Ovis aries: one gene and its partner. The protein of the gene in region 2 purifies or fractionates together with the protein of the main gene of each other region. This does not show direct contact. Links are inferred from orthologs where the notes say so. Each region holds a gene or a part of one and is shown on either strand. Other genes may lie near its edges.

What was found.
Region 1: the proteins of SBF1 (region 2) and MTMR1 purify together in Homo sapiens (affinity purification with mass spectrometry; 4 studies listed by BioGRID and IntAct, with this or other methods). This does not show direct contact. The link is inferred for Ovis aries from reciprocal best matches to the Homo sapiens genes SBF1 and MTMR1.

The regions. Positions count from the first base shown.
Region 1 is NC_056080.1:84,824,390-84,831,786, forward strand, and holds part of MTMR1 (myotubularin-related protein 1), read right to left. Parts: intron 7,199-7,397; coding exon 7,104-7,198; intron 6,696-7,103; coding exon 6,588-6,695; intron 3,181-6,587; coding exon 3,079-3,180; intron 2,762-3,078; coding exon 2,678-2,761; intron 1,831-2,677; coding exon 1,681-1,830; intron 244-1,680; coding exon 55-243; intron 1-54. UniProt on the Homo sapiens protein: Lipid phosphatase that specifically dephosphorylates the D-3 position of phosphatidylinositol 3-phosphate, generating phosphatidylinositol. Could also dephosphorylate phosphatidylinositol 3,5-bisphosphate to produce phosphatidylinositol 5-phosphate.
Region 2 is NC_056056.1:225,675,531-225,682,747, forward strand, and holds the end of SBF1 (myotubularin-related protein 5), read right to left. Parts: intron 4,410-7,217; coding exon 4,302-4,409; intron 4,182-4,301; coding exon 3,970-4,181; intron 3,490-3,969; coding exon 3,402-3,489; intron 3,332-3,401; coding exon 3,200-3,331; intron 3,128-3,199; coding exon 3,029-3,127; 3' UTR 2,696-3,028; downstream 1-2,695. Other genes in the region: PPP6R2 (serine/threonine-protein phosphatase 6 regulatory subunit 2), read left to right, coding at 935-1,159, 1,240-1,291. UniProt on the Homo sapiens protein: Acts as an adapter for the phosphatase MTMR2 to regulate MTMR2 catalytic activity and subcellular location. Promotes the exchange of GDP to GTP, converting inactive GDP-bound Rab proteins into their active GTP-bound form.

The DNA of each region.
Region 1 (7,397 bases), on a different chromosome or scaffold from region 2:
ATCTGAATGGCATGATGCTTTACAAACAGTTGACAGGAAGAGCTTCTGCAGTACCTTGTTTGTGTCGGCGACGCTGTTTTGCCGGGCATCAAAGATGATGAGTTTGTGAGCCTGTGCATTAGCATCCATTATTGTTTGCAAGTACTTCTCATCTTCCTTGCAGCGCTTATCATTGGGACCCACAAGCGGCTGGCTGCAACGGGTAATTGTTGCCTGGCTTTCTGGATGAATCCATGACAACACCTAGTGTTTGAAAGCAACAAGTATTAGTACGGTCCTAAACCAATATGTGCTCTAATGTACCTGTGTGTATGCTCAGTTTCTCAGTCATGTCTGACTCTTTGCAACCCCATGAACTTAGCCCTCCAGGCTCCTCTGTCCATGCAGTTCTCCAGGCAAGAATATTAGAGTGAGTTGCCATTTTCTTCTCTAGGGGATCTTCCCAACCTAGGGATCAAACCCAGGTCTCCTGGGTCTCCTGCATTGGCAGGCAGATTCTTCAGCACTGAGCCACCAAGTTCTTAAGCACACCTGCTTTTTTTTTTTGTATTTTTGTCAAAAGGGACGGTTCAGCCTGAAGACAGTGTGAAAGTAGCCATAAGACTCAATGTTTGGATCAGGCTGAAAGGAGTCTGACTAAGTGAGCTCTAAAAAATCTCCTTTGCCTTTAAAATTCTAGGATTCTAAGAAAAACAGAAACTAAATCAAACCATGACTAACACCAAGCCCATTTCTATTTGATCAACTGATTTTGTCTTCTCATTTAAAAACACCTTTGAATCTCAACTGTGACTCAGATGGTAAACAATCCGCCTGCAATGCAAGAGACCTGGCTTTGATCCCTGAGTTGGGAAGATCCCCTGGAGAAGGGCATGGCAACCCACTCCAGTATTCTTGCCTGGAGAATCCAATGGACAGAGGAGCCTGGTGGGGTATAGTCCATGGGGTCACAAAGAGTCAGACACGATTGGGCAATTAACACTTGGATGTCAACAATGGCGTACATGGCCAGATGAGGACAAAGTAAACAGTCTCTTGTAAAATCTAAAGCTATATCCCCAAACCTACCATTTTCCCCCAGTGTCCAAGACACTTGGGGTCAACCAGATGGCACATGCAGGGCTCAAGACATGCACTCCCTCCCTAACTGTGGTTCCCTCTCTAATATGTATCCCCAGTGTACACATATATCCAAACTCACCAAACTGGATCCACTAAACATGTGCAGGGTTTTTTGTATACCAACAAATCGTTTAAAATACTTCATCCCCTGTTGGCTACTATTTCTTTCTGCAATGGTGGCCCTCCCAGTACAGGTATAGCCTTCCCCTCAGTATCTAAGAAAGAATGTATTTTCTCCAGGATGATTCAGTGACACCAGTGACACAAACTGTCAGCACACTAGCAAGCTTAGCCCTCTGCTATCTATACCATGTTTTGAAAGCATGACTGAAGTTACCCTGGTACTTAGTAACATGAACTCATGGCAGGTGGGATCATAGCAAGCAGACAAAATGCTTATATAATTAGATAGTTATTGAGAATCAAAGATATGTTCAGGTTTATAGACTTATTTTTCTACTTTCCATTTTCTTCATGAGATTTCTTCTAACTTGCTTTTCCCCATATTAGACCAAATACAGTATATGTTCATATCTAAATAACATTATTATTACTTACCGGGATTCTACCTTTTGCTCGAAATGCTGCTACTTTTGAAAGATCATCATCTTTTACACTAGTTGGCACAACAATGATGGCAGGGTAGGTGTCACAGAGCTCATAATTACTGTTTACTTTGGATATTTTCCAACTTTCATTTGGCAAGCCCTGCAAGGTGTCAGAGGAAAGTTGGTGGTGTGTGTGGGGACCATACTTTTATACTTTCAAAAAGTACTAAGCATGAACCACATCCAATTATTTTCTAGTAAAACCCATTTGTAATTCATTGTTCATTACTGCTTAAAAGATTAAATATAATTTATTTTATATAAGCCATTGCCTACCTAATTCATTTTTTAAAAAAATCTAATGAAGCATAATTTCCAAACATACTAAAACATGCAAATTATATACTTGAATTCCAGTCCTATGTATTTCTTATCATGTTTTTTATAACAAGTGAGCATAGTGTTGTTCTTTAAAAATACCCACGGAAGTCCTTTAGAGAAACAGAAACTTCTTTAAAATGTCTAAAGGAATATAAAGTCACCGTACCAAATATAAGGTGTGGACCAAGAGTAAATGTCATGAAAATAACGTCTCATTGGAATATCTTCAAACTAACAATGCACTAAAGAACTTCTAGGTAGAGAAACGCCATCAGACTGACATAGCCATGTCTTATACTCATAATCTAATTTAAGCCATTGCTTTATCCTTACTAATCAACTTAGTATCAGAATACCTAATAAAAACCATCTGGTTGGTTTCTTTGTAACCCTTCCCCTCGTCCTGGTACTTCATTTGCCCTCTGAAAAAAGGAAGAACAAACAGCGGCACAGCTGAAGGTACGGTGCAAGGAGAAGGGGCATCCAGAGCTGAAGAACCAGCAGACTAGGTGAGTTACACCCATGGACAACTTTTTGCAAAAGGTTTCTTCTCCACTACATTTCTACCATTTTAGGAAAAAGATGCTCAACCTATTATTTTCCAGTTGATAAGCATCACACTTTACCTGTCTTTTATATTCAGATACTGGATCATAAACTTTCCATCCATTCACTGGAAATTTTTCTTTATAGTTGAAGGCAAAGAGTGTCTGGATACAAAAGCACAAAATAGACATGTCAGCATCTTTGCACTGTCACATGCACACTACTAAAGCTTTTCATTCAGTTATGAGCTGAATGTATTGAGTCCTACTTTAATCTATAACATTTTGTAAAACAACAAATTTGAAGTTTTCTTCATCATTACACAGAACTGACACAGTTTAAGTACTCAATGTTAGTTACCAACAGAGGGAAAAGAGATAAAGGAAACCTCTGGAAGAAAGAATAACTAACCATGACATTTTTAGACTGCCACGAAGGCATTCAGACCCGCACAAAAAGAAGGTTATTTCCATGTACTTACCTGCCCATTGGAAAGAGGAAATGCATGTTTGTTGAGGTTTTCAAATATCCCTAGTTTACTCTGTTCTTCCTGTTTATAAGCAAGTCGCAAGTTCCTCATATCCTGTTAAACAATTAGCAAACCTCATTGATTAAACATGTATTGAGTACCTATGAGGTAGACCTCATGGTATGAAGAGACAAAATATTTTTATTCATTTCTCACAAAATGTAATTGGCCCTCCATATCTGCATGCTCCATACCCACAAATTCACCCAAGCATGGATCAAAAACATTGGGGAAAAAAGTTCCAAAACACACAACTTGTCAAGCAACTATTTACATAGCACTGACATAGCACTAGGTATTTAAAATGATGTAGAGATGATCTAAAGTACACAGGAGGATGTGCAGAGACTGTATACAAATATGATGCCATTTTACATTTGGGCATTCATGTCTCCAGATGTTGGTATTTGCTGGCGAGGGGGTGTCCTGTAACTAGTCTCTGGTGGACACCAAGTGGTGACTGGACTCCATTTTACTCCAACTAACAAAAGGCAATTCACAAAACACCTCCAACAAGATAATAAATTGAGGAAAATGGAACAAAGGGGAGGTGTTAGGGGGGAAAATTCATCAGATGGAACCAGGAGTAAGGTTAGTACATAAAAGTGGTACATCAAATGGTGTGCCCTTCTGTGCTAAAGGTGTGCCATAAAATCAGTTCTGGCTTAAGCTGCTCAAAGAATCAATTATGGAATTCACACCATCCATCAAATAGAAATCCAACAGAGGTTTCTCCTCTGAACTCGGAGCAAGGATTCTATGTCATGTAGAGACAGTGGCTCTCAGTGACTTCCTTACAGAAATTACAATGTTGCTTCTCAAGATAAGTATCTGAAAGCCCCCTGCTGCACAAGCTGTCAGCCTGAAGCCCAAGTGGAAGTTGTCAGGAGCAAGGCTGACAAGGTGGTTCAAAGGGTGCAATGTCTTCCCAGGACTGGCTTGAGCACTACACCCTGACCTTTCTAAGCCTACGCTCTTTGTTAAAACAGGAATCTCATTCTTTAATCTTACATGGAATTCAAAAATAAATATGACCACAAACAAATTAAAGCAAAAGCAATTGGGGAAGTGAGGAAGGTATTGCTGTGGTATTATTTATAACAGTGAAAGAATGGAAATAACCTAAATGCCTATCAATAAATAAGGGCTGGCTCAATGAACTACAGTACTACTGATGGCATACTACAGAGCTAATGAAAACAAGAAGTGGCTCATTAGGTACTGCTAGCAAGGAATTCCAAGATAATAGTTGAGGGTGGTAAGAAAGGTACAGAACAATGAATGTAACACACGACCATTCACATTTTCAGACACAGGCTTGTATGCAGAGGCCATCTATGGAAACTGGTGCCAGTGGGTGCCTGCACAGAGTGGATCAGAGTGGCTGGAGAGAAACTTACTTTTTGCTACACACAGTTTTTGTACTTTTTGAATTGTATATCACCTGTTTAAGCATGGTCCTGGTAATTCTACACTGAAGAACATTTTAAAACTGCTTTTCACAAAGACTCACCTTGGCCACACACACACACACACAAATATCATAGGAAAGCAACCACAGGACACCTGCCTAAGTGATGTAACTTCCTGCTATGCCCTCCCGCCAAGCTACTCTGGCTACACACATGCTCCTCAGTTGCTGACTGAGCTGACTTGCTATATAGGATTGCTCAGTTCAGAAAGAGAAGGCAATGGCACCCCACTCCAGTACTCTTGCCTGGAAAATCCCATGGACAGAGGAGCCTGGTAGGCTGCAGTCCATGGGGTCGCGAAGAGTTGGACATGACTGAGCGACTTCACTTTCACTTTTCACTTTCATGCATTGGAGAAGGAAATGGCAACCCACTCCAGTGTTCTTGCCTGGAGAATCCCAGGGACGGGGGAGCCTGGTGGGCTGCTGTCTATGGGATCACACAGAGTCAGACATGACTGAAGCGACTTAGCAGCAGCAGCAGCTCAGAGGCAAAGGCATTGCCAGCAAAGACAGAGCATGTGTGAAGCCCCAGGAGTCTGAGTGTGGCAAGGGTTGGCGGGGTCCAAGGCAGGTGGGAGCAACTATAGGAATGGGATGGCAAGAACAAGGGGAGGTGGGCTGGAGTGGGAGCCGCCAAGGAAAGCAAGCCCGCTCACACCATGGGGTCTCCGTGTTTTCCCTCTAGCCCAAGGGCAGCTACTGAAGAGTTCTGAGTAGGTAAATGACCTGTTCCACAATTACAGAATTGACTCACCCACCCCACCCTTGGCTTTAAGTTCTGCAGAGGATTCCCACTGCTCTGCCTGTGGAGAATCCTGGAGAATCAGGACTGCCACCATGGACCCGAGGGGAGGACAGCCACATGTTGCTCGAGAGATGCTAGGAAGCCAGCAGATTTCCGACCCGGCACAGTAAAGGCTTATTTGAAAACGTGAGTTCAACTGCAGTCTAGGGCCAACCAGCAAGAGCCTCACTCAGAGATATGATGGAGGCAGATAGACTGGCAGGAATCTAATCCAAACCCCAAACTGGGAAGGGACCTGGATGGTGCTGCAGACAGGATCTCTTGCCTGGTATTTTAGGTGAGGTTGTTAGTGAACTGTATTCCACAAGGCAAAGTCATTGGAATTGAAGTAAGGTGTTTCTTAAATGACTTTGTTGTTGTTCAGTTGCTCAGTTGTGTCCTACTCTTTGCAACCCCATGGACTGCAGCTTGCCAGGCTTCTCTGTCCTCCATTGCTCAGAGTTGGCTCAAATTCATGTTCATCTTTCATTAGTCCTCATCAAAGCTGTCACACAAATTTTACTTAATCCATTGGAGGAAAGGGACAAAATCAAAATTAAGCATGGCTCAGGTGCAAATTCCAACAAGAAACTCAACTGTGTTTTTAATCACAGAATTTATGAATATTGTTGTCCCTTTAGGGATTCCTGGGTAGCTCAGTAGTAAAGAATCCACCTTCCAATGAAGGAGACACAGGAGATGTGGGTTTGGTCCCTGGGTCAGGAAGATCCCCTGGAGGAGGAATTGGCAACCCATTCCAGTATTCTTGCCTCGGAAAATCCCATGGACAGAGGAACCTGGCGGGATACAGTCCATGGGGTTGCAAAGAGTAGGACACGACTGAGCAACTGAGCACGCACATGCCCACTGTCCCTTTAGGAAGTCTCTGACTAAAAACTAGTATTATAATGACAAACTGCCAAAAAAATACTGATCTCTGCTTTCCACTTGATTTCTCTGAAATGTAACAAATCATGTCACCACCTAGGTTACAGGTCCATGTTAATTGGAACACTTCAACAGAAAAGAAGCAGTTTACTTCAACAGCTTATATAATGGTCTGAATTGGCTGATGAAAGGTTGAAGAGGTTTGTGTCCCGAAGACATCTGAGTGACTAACGTCCAAATTATTCTTACTATCCAAGAGTCCAAGGATGTTCCAGCTGGCTGCCCCATCTCAGTTTCTCTCTGTTTGCACCGTACCTTGCACACGATCTCTATGCCACAAGAGTTGTCTCCATGGCTTTGTGCTCCAATCTTTTCAACTCTGCTGATCACTCCCAGGGGGACATCGAGGACGAAATGTGGGTCCTGGGTTCACAGATGAACATGAATGCCAATCAGTGTCAGTCAACAGAGTTTTCCAATTCAAGTCTTCACTGGCTAAAAACATGTTTGCTTCTTACTTTGATTTTCCTCTTGGTTCTGGCTAAGACACCAAGGTCTGGTTTATCACCTACTTAGTGATGTAGATGTCAAGAGTATAATTAAACCCCACCCCCCACCCCCGTGAAAGTGTTACTTTAAAGTGTTACTTTACTTTAATACTTCTTTTCAACATATAAAATCTGCTTGCACATCTTAAAATGGGCACATTTTAAAACTGACTCTCAGTTTCTCTCAGAGTGGTAGGATTTCAGGATACTTTTTACTATCTTCTTTATTATACGCTTTCTTCTGCAGCATTTTAAAAAATAAAACCCATTTTTAAATACTCACTCTCTCTACATTCTTGAAGTACATCTTAAAGTCCGTCACTGTCAGGGTGCCAGTCACTGCTCCCACAAATGGGCAGATATACATGACATCTTTCACTGAAAGAAAAAACCCCAAATAGCATCTAGTGCCATTGGCTTGTGTTTCAATAAATCTTAACATGAGTTTCCACAAATGCGTGATTCTAGTTTTCTAGGAATTTAAATTTTTTCATTACTTTAAATAAAGGCATAGATGGATAGTCTTCTAATAAAATTCCATTTTAAAAACAAAAGTCTTATTTGCTACCTAGTGAGG
Region 2 (7,217 bases):
GGACAGGCCTACGGCCTGTGGGACCCTCTGTGGACAGATGCTCCGGGCTGGGCAGGTGGCAGGAGCTGTGTGCTGAGACGGGACGTGGGCGGCAGGGCTCTGGGCCGGGAGAGAAGCAGAGCTGAGTCGGCGTGAGGGGCGCCAGGCGGGCAGGGAGGACGGGGCTGCTCCTGGCTCCCCCGCCCCCTCAGATCCTCCCTCTAGGTTCTAGGCTCAGCCTGTCCATGGGGGCCCAGCTCTGCCTCAGCACACACTAGCTCCCGGGACCCAGGGGACGTTGATCCCACCAGTGCTGGGCTCACCCGTGGGCACAACCAGGAGGGAGCAGGCACCCGTCAGGAGGGGCTGGTTCTCACCGAGCCGCTCAGGGAGACCTGCAGCTCAGCTTCTTCCCTTCCTGACCCCCGTTTCCCCCGAAACCCACCCGGCGATGTTCTGAGAGCAAGTCCTTTGGTTTGGGGGGTGCACTTTGGGCCATTGTGGGTAACGAGCCAGGCTTGCCTGTAGGCTCCCCCCCACCCTTGCTGCCTCCCCGGAGTCCTCGCGAGGCAGTGGGTGATGCCCTGTAGTTGGGAGCGGGTGCGGCCGCTGGGTGCTGTGGGTGCTCCTGGGCCCCAGGCCACCCTCCTGCGCTCCCTGTCTCCAGGGGTGGGTGGGCACATTCTGGGCAGATGTGGCCTGTGGCTGTCTAGGGAATGGCCCTGGGCCACATGGTCCACAGAAGGGTGTGGGCTGTGGGGGCATCTGAGGGTCATTCCAGAGCAGGTGGGGGCCTGCGGGGGGCGCAGGGGCGGGCCGTTCCGGGTGAGCGCTCCTGGCAGGAGGCGGCTGCCTGGCGGGCTGTGCAGGGGTGGGGTGGGGGGGTCTCTGGAGTGTTTGGAACTTGGGGCGGCAAAACAGGGGCCCGGGTAACCAGAACCCTTCTGCTGCACAGGGCTGACTGTGCCCCCAGCTCACCGCCCGGCCCGGTGCCCCTGGACCCTGCCGAGGCGCCCACTGCCTCCGCTGAGGCCACCATGACGGGCCCTGCGCCCCAGGCCGTCTCCCCTGTGCTGGCCGTGGCTGTCCCCCCCGGGCCTATGGTGGCCGTCACCACCGCAGCCCCCGCCAGCCCAGCCGTGTCCATGGCAGCCGCCTTGGGGACAGTGCCAAGAGACAGGTGAGCCGGTCAGGCCAGGGGAGGGGCTGCGGGACCCCGGGCCAGGGAGCCCAGCCCTGAGCGACCCCCCCACCCCGCAGACAGGCTGGCGGGCCACCACCCTCCGGAGCCGCCCTCAGTGGCCCCGTGTGACGCCGCTGCTGCGCAGTCTTGGCACCCAGCCCAGAAAAGCACCTGGTGATGCAGTCTCTTTTTAATTTAATTTAATTTAATTTTAAAATAAATGCTGCATTGGTAAAGCTGGCACTTGGAACTAGCCAGACAGCCCCGCCTGCATTTCTCCTGCCTGACCCCGACCGGGTGGCCACGGGGGTCCAGCCCCGCACACAGCAATAAGGCCTTGGCCGTGGCTCTGCCTGTGGGAGCCCGGGGCTGCAACCCCAGAGGCCCGAGGGCCAGGCCAGACCCCACAGACTCCCTGCCTGTTTTTTACCAGTTTTTTCTTAGCAGATGCAGGAAGAGCCACGTGTTTGCACTTTTTATCTGGCGCAGGAGAGGGTCTCCAAGGCTCTGGGTCCAGATGCGGGGCTGGAGCAGGGCGGGCCAGACCGGGTCCCTAGCTGCCCAGAGCTGGGAGCGGGCCGTGCCAGGCTGCAAATGACTGCCTTAAAACCCAAGCTCCTGCAGCCTGGCGGGGTGTCCTGGGCCTCCCACAGTGCGCGCTGGCGGTGTGGGCCGTGGGCGGGGCGGGGCGCCCCCAGCAGTGCTGGGGGGCACCGAGCTGTCCGGGGGGCAGGGGGGTGGTCTGCAGGGTCAGCTCACATGACCTGACGATCTGACGGCACTCAGACCCTCGCCTCCAATAAAGGTTGTCACTCTCACCTACAGACCTTGTGTCTCGCGTGGTGTTCAGCGGCAGGCCCTCCACTGCCCCAGGCCCGTCTGAGTCAGTGCCAAGAGCAGCTCCGCCTGGAGTTGAGCGCTGGGCAGGGCCTCAGCCCGACGGCTGTCTCCGGGCCGGGAGCCCCCCTCCCACAGTGGGTGCCCCACTGTGCTGTGCTCTCCACCCAGGACCTCTCGGGGGCCCCTGGCCTCTGCAGTGCCACACCCCACCTCCCACCTGCTGCCGCCCTGCCACTGGTTGGCACCCATTGCAAGTGAGACCCAGTCCAGGTGACCCCCATTACAGCCCAGAATAGGGCAGTGGGGATGGTCAGGGCCAGATGGCAGGACTCACGGGAGTAAGAGACAGGCATTTGGATAGAGTTCCCAGCACAGATGCCGTCAGGGCACCATGCCCCGCCACCCTGCGTCTGCCCGAGCACCCCTGCCTTCTCGAACACCCACCCTCCTGGCGTCCCCCTGGCCCGGGTACTCTCATCTGGCCAGGGACCACGGAGCTGCACCGTCCTTGCCACCCCCCAGCCCTCTGGATGCAGGGCAGCTTCCTGGGGGGTCGCTGCTCTGTACCAGCCCCAGGGTTGCCTGAGGCCTGGTGGGGAGCAGACCCCAAACAAGGCCCTGACAATGCCCCCCATGATGCGGCCCGGGCTCAGGGTGGGGGGGTGGGGAAAGCAGGTGGAACAGACGCAGGCACGCGGTGTCGTTAGCTCTTTATAGACTCTCGTTCTAGGAAGAGGGCGCCTGGGGCCGGCCGGCCAGGGCCAGCACACAGACGGGCGGGGGGGACTATTTACAGGCCCACCGCGAGGGCTGTACCGTGCTGCTCCCGGCGGGCACTCAGCCAGGCCTCCAGGGAGCTGGAGCTGGAGCTGGCGGGGCGGGGCGGGGCGGGGCGGGGCGGGGGGCTGTACACGCAGGGGGAGGGCCTCAATACTGTCAAGGGTGGGGGCTGTAAACATGGCCGGGGGGCCCTGCCCACCCCTAGTGGTCGGTAACTGGACGCAGGGCTGCGGGGCAGGGCCACGCTCAGGCGTCCGACAGGCAGCTCTGGATCTGGTCCACCCACTGCTGGGCCGACGGCACGTCCTGGGCACAGAAGTTGTAAACGCGACGCGTCGTCTTCACCTGCGGACACAGGACGCTGACCCTCGGCCCTCCCGGGGGCAGCTGCCCCACCCCACTCCCACCGCAGCTCACGTCAAAGAAAGCCTTCTCATCCACGGTCTTGGGGGCGCCCATGGCGGGCGTGCCTGGTGCCACAGCCTCCACCTCGGCCAGGTCGATGACACCCTTGCACTCCGTGTCAGCACGGTGGTCGTAGTAGCGCAGCTGCGGTGGGGGGGCAGGAGTCAGGGCGGGGCCCTCGAAGCCCCACCCCAGCGGGGCGCCCAGCACTCACCTGGTGCTTCGTCTTGTCCAGCACAAACCAGCGGGCCTTCCAGGGCTTCATGAAGGCACCTTTCTTGTACAGGGTGCCCTCGTAGGACCTGTGTCGGCAGCAGGACCGGCCAGACCACTTCAGGGCCTGGCCCTGGTGCCCTCTGCACCCCTGCCAGGGCCAGCAGCAAAGCCCAGGCACTCGCCCCCAAGCCAGCCTCAGCCCGGAGCCCTGGGCCCCGACGGGCTCGTGAGGGCCTTGCCAGGGCCTCAGGGCAACAACATCCCACGGACAGCAGGCCCCAACAACCGGGCAGGTTTCCGGTGACTGCGGCCAGCGGCGCCTGGGCCCAGAAAGGGGGTGCAGCCCGCGGGGCCCATGCCAACCGCAGCCGTCCCTTCCCTCTCTGGCTGAGGTCACCAGCTCCGTGTCCCAAAGGCTGAGCCCACCTGCTTCTTCCCAGCCCTGGTCAGCTCACGTGGAGGCCACCGGCAGGGCCTCCCCCACCAATAAGTCCTGAGAAATCCCTGCGAGCCCCCCGAAGGCGCCCCCTGAAGCCCGCCGCGCCTGTTCGGGGGCGGCCGCAGACCTGTTCTCACTCTCCGCCGTCTGGAACTGGCTGTAGAGGGTGCTGGTGCTGCGGCGGGCTGCCTGCCGCGAGCTGGACACGGAAGAGCCGCTGCTCTGGTCACTGTCCAGGCTGAGGCTCAGCGTGGAGCCCACAGGGCCCTCCTGCAGGTACACACCCAGCGAGCGGCGGTGGTGGGGCACGCTGGACACCAGCAGGGAGCCGGGGGTGCCCTGCAGGCAGGAAGGGGCCCGGGTCAGGGGGGCCTCCCCGCCTCCTGGCTGCAGGCCTGCCCACCCGCCCCCCACACCCGCCCCGCTCACACCCGCCCCGCTCACACCCGCCCCGCTCACACGTCCGTCTGGCCGGCCCTCGAGGCGCTGGGCCGCCTTCACCCGATCCCAGGCGTCCTTCCAGCGCTCGGGGGGTCGGCCCAGCTCAGTCTCCAGTCGCTGCATCTCCTGCGGGGGGGAACCAGTGAAGTAAAAGGTTCTGCAGAAGGGGACACGTGAAGACAAGGATGAAGGCTGCAGAAAGGAGACGGAGAAAAGATGCACCGAGCGTGCGACTCATCCACGAGCCAGAGGCGCAAGGGCGCGGGGCTGGACAGAGCCCGCACGTGGAGAAACCCCGCACGTGGAGAGACGGCTGAAGAGAGACTCCAAACGTGTCAGCCAGGAAAAAAGCTGTCTTCAAAAGAGCAACAGGGCGCTGCCTGGCACACAGGCAGGAGGAGCTGAGCGGTTACGGGGCCATGCTGCAGCCTGAGGCCCAAGAGGGTCACACGGGAGCCCGAGCGGGCAGGGCAGAGGCGGGGGGGGGGGAGCAGGAGCTCGACCCTCTCCCCACAGACACCCCCCACCCCGAGCATCTCTAGCCAAGAGCAAGCGCCACATGTGCAGCAAGATCCTGCGAGGCCTGGCAGAGAGCAGCTACTCAAAAGCTGTGAGCTACATCTGGACGCTGGAGGCCACACCGTGTGGGGAGATGCAGAATCCACGGGGACACCCTGCTGATGGCACAGACCTTCTGCTGAAACCTGAAAAGACCATGTCCATGGAGCCTGGAGGAAAGGCTTCTCTACGAGGAGCAACCCCATGTCCAAGGAGTGGTGGCTGCGCAGGGGCCGAGAGGAGCTACTCCACATGCAAGGTCAGGAGGGGGCGGCCGTAAGGAGATACCCCTCGTCCAAGGTAAGAGAAACCCCAGTAAGATGGTAGGTGTTGCAAGAGGGCATCAGATGGCAGACTGAAACCACAATCGCAGACAATAAGCCAATCTCATCACACTAGAACCACAGCTTGTCTAACTCAGTGAAACTAAGCCATGCCGTGTGGGGCCACCCAAAACGGGCGGGCATGGTGGAGAGGGCTGACAGAATGTGGTCCCCGGGGAGAAGGGAATGGCAGACCACTTCAGTATTCTTGCCTTGAGAACCCCATGAACAGTACGAAAAGGCAAAATGATAGGATACTGAAAGAGGAACTCCCCAGGTAGGTAGGTGCCCAATATGCTACTGGAGATCAGTGGAGAAATTACTCCAGAAAGAATGAAGGGAAGGAGCCAAAGCAAAAACAATACCCAGTTGTGGATGTGACTGCTGATAGAAGCAAGGTCTGATGCTATAAAGAGCAATATTGCATAGGAACCTGGAATGTCAGGTCCATGAATTGAGGCAAATTGGAAGTGGTCAAACGAGATGGCAATGGTGAACGTCGACATTCTAGGAATCAGCGAACTAAAATGGACGGGAATGGGTGAATTTAACCCAGATGACCATTATATCTACTACTGCGGGCAGGAATCCCTCAGAAGAAATGGAGTAGCCATCATGGTCAACAAAAGAGTCCGAAATGCAGTACTCGGATGCAATCTCAAAAATGACAGAATGATCTCTGTTCGTTTCCAAGGCAAACCATTAAATATCACGGTAATCCAAGTGTATGCCCCAACCAGTAACGCTGAAGAAGCTGAAGTTGAACGGTTCTATGAAAACCTACAAGACCTCTTAGAACTAACACCCAAAAAAGATGTCCTTTTCATTATAGGGGACTGGAATGCAAAAATAGGAAGTCAAGAAACACCTGGAGTAACAGGCAAATTTGGCCTTGGAATGCAGAATGAAGCAGGGCAAAGACTAATAGAGTTTTGCCAACAGAACGCACTGGTCATAGCAAAGACCCTCTTCCAACAACACAAGAGAAGACTCTATACATGGACATCACCAGATGGTCAACACCGAAATCAGACTGATTATATTCTCTGCAGCCAAAGATGGAGAAGCTCTATACAGTCAGCAAAAGCAAGACTGGGATCTGACTGTGGCTCAGGTCATGAACTCCTTATTGCCAAATTCAGACTCAAATTGAAGAAAGTAGGGAAAACTGCTAGACCATTCAGGTATGACCTAAATCAAATCCCTTATGATTATACAGTGGAAGTAAGAAATAGATTCATGGGATTAGATCTAATAGACAGAGTGACTGATGAACTATGGACTGAGGCTCGTAACATTGTACAGGAGACAGGGATCAAGACCATCCCCATGGGAAAGAAATGCAAAAAAGCAAAATGGCTGTCTGGGGAGGCCTTGCAAATAGCTGTGAAAAGAAGAGAAGCAAAAAGCAAAGGAGAAAAGGAAAGATATAAGCATCTGAATGCAGAGTTCCAAAGAATAGCAAGAAGAGATAAGAAAACCTCTTCAGCAATCAATGCAAAGAAATAGAGGAAAACAACAGAATGGGAAAGACTAGAGATCTCTGCAAGAAAATTAGAGATACCAAGGGAACATTTCAAGCAAAGATGGGCTCGATAAAGGACAGAAATGGTATGGACCTAACAGAAGCAGAAGATATTAAGAAGAGGTGGCAAGAATACACAGAACTATACAAAAAAGATCTTCATGACCCAGATAATCACAATGGTGTGATCACTCACCTAGAGCCAGACATCCTGGAATGTGAAGTCAAGTGGGCCTTAGGAAGTATCACTACGAACAAAGCTAGTGGAGGTGATGGAATTCCAGTTGAGCTGTTTCAAATCCTGAAAGATGATGCTGTGAAAGTGCTGCACTAAATATGCCAGCAAATTTGGAAAACTCAGCAGTGGCCACAGGACTGGAAAAGGTCAGTTTTCATTCCAATCCCAAAGAAAGGCAATACCAAAGAATGCTCAAACTACCACACAATTCCACTCATCTCACATGCTAGTAAAGTAATGCTCAAAATTCTCCAAGCCAGGCTTCAGCAATACATGAACCGTGAACTTCC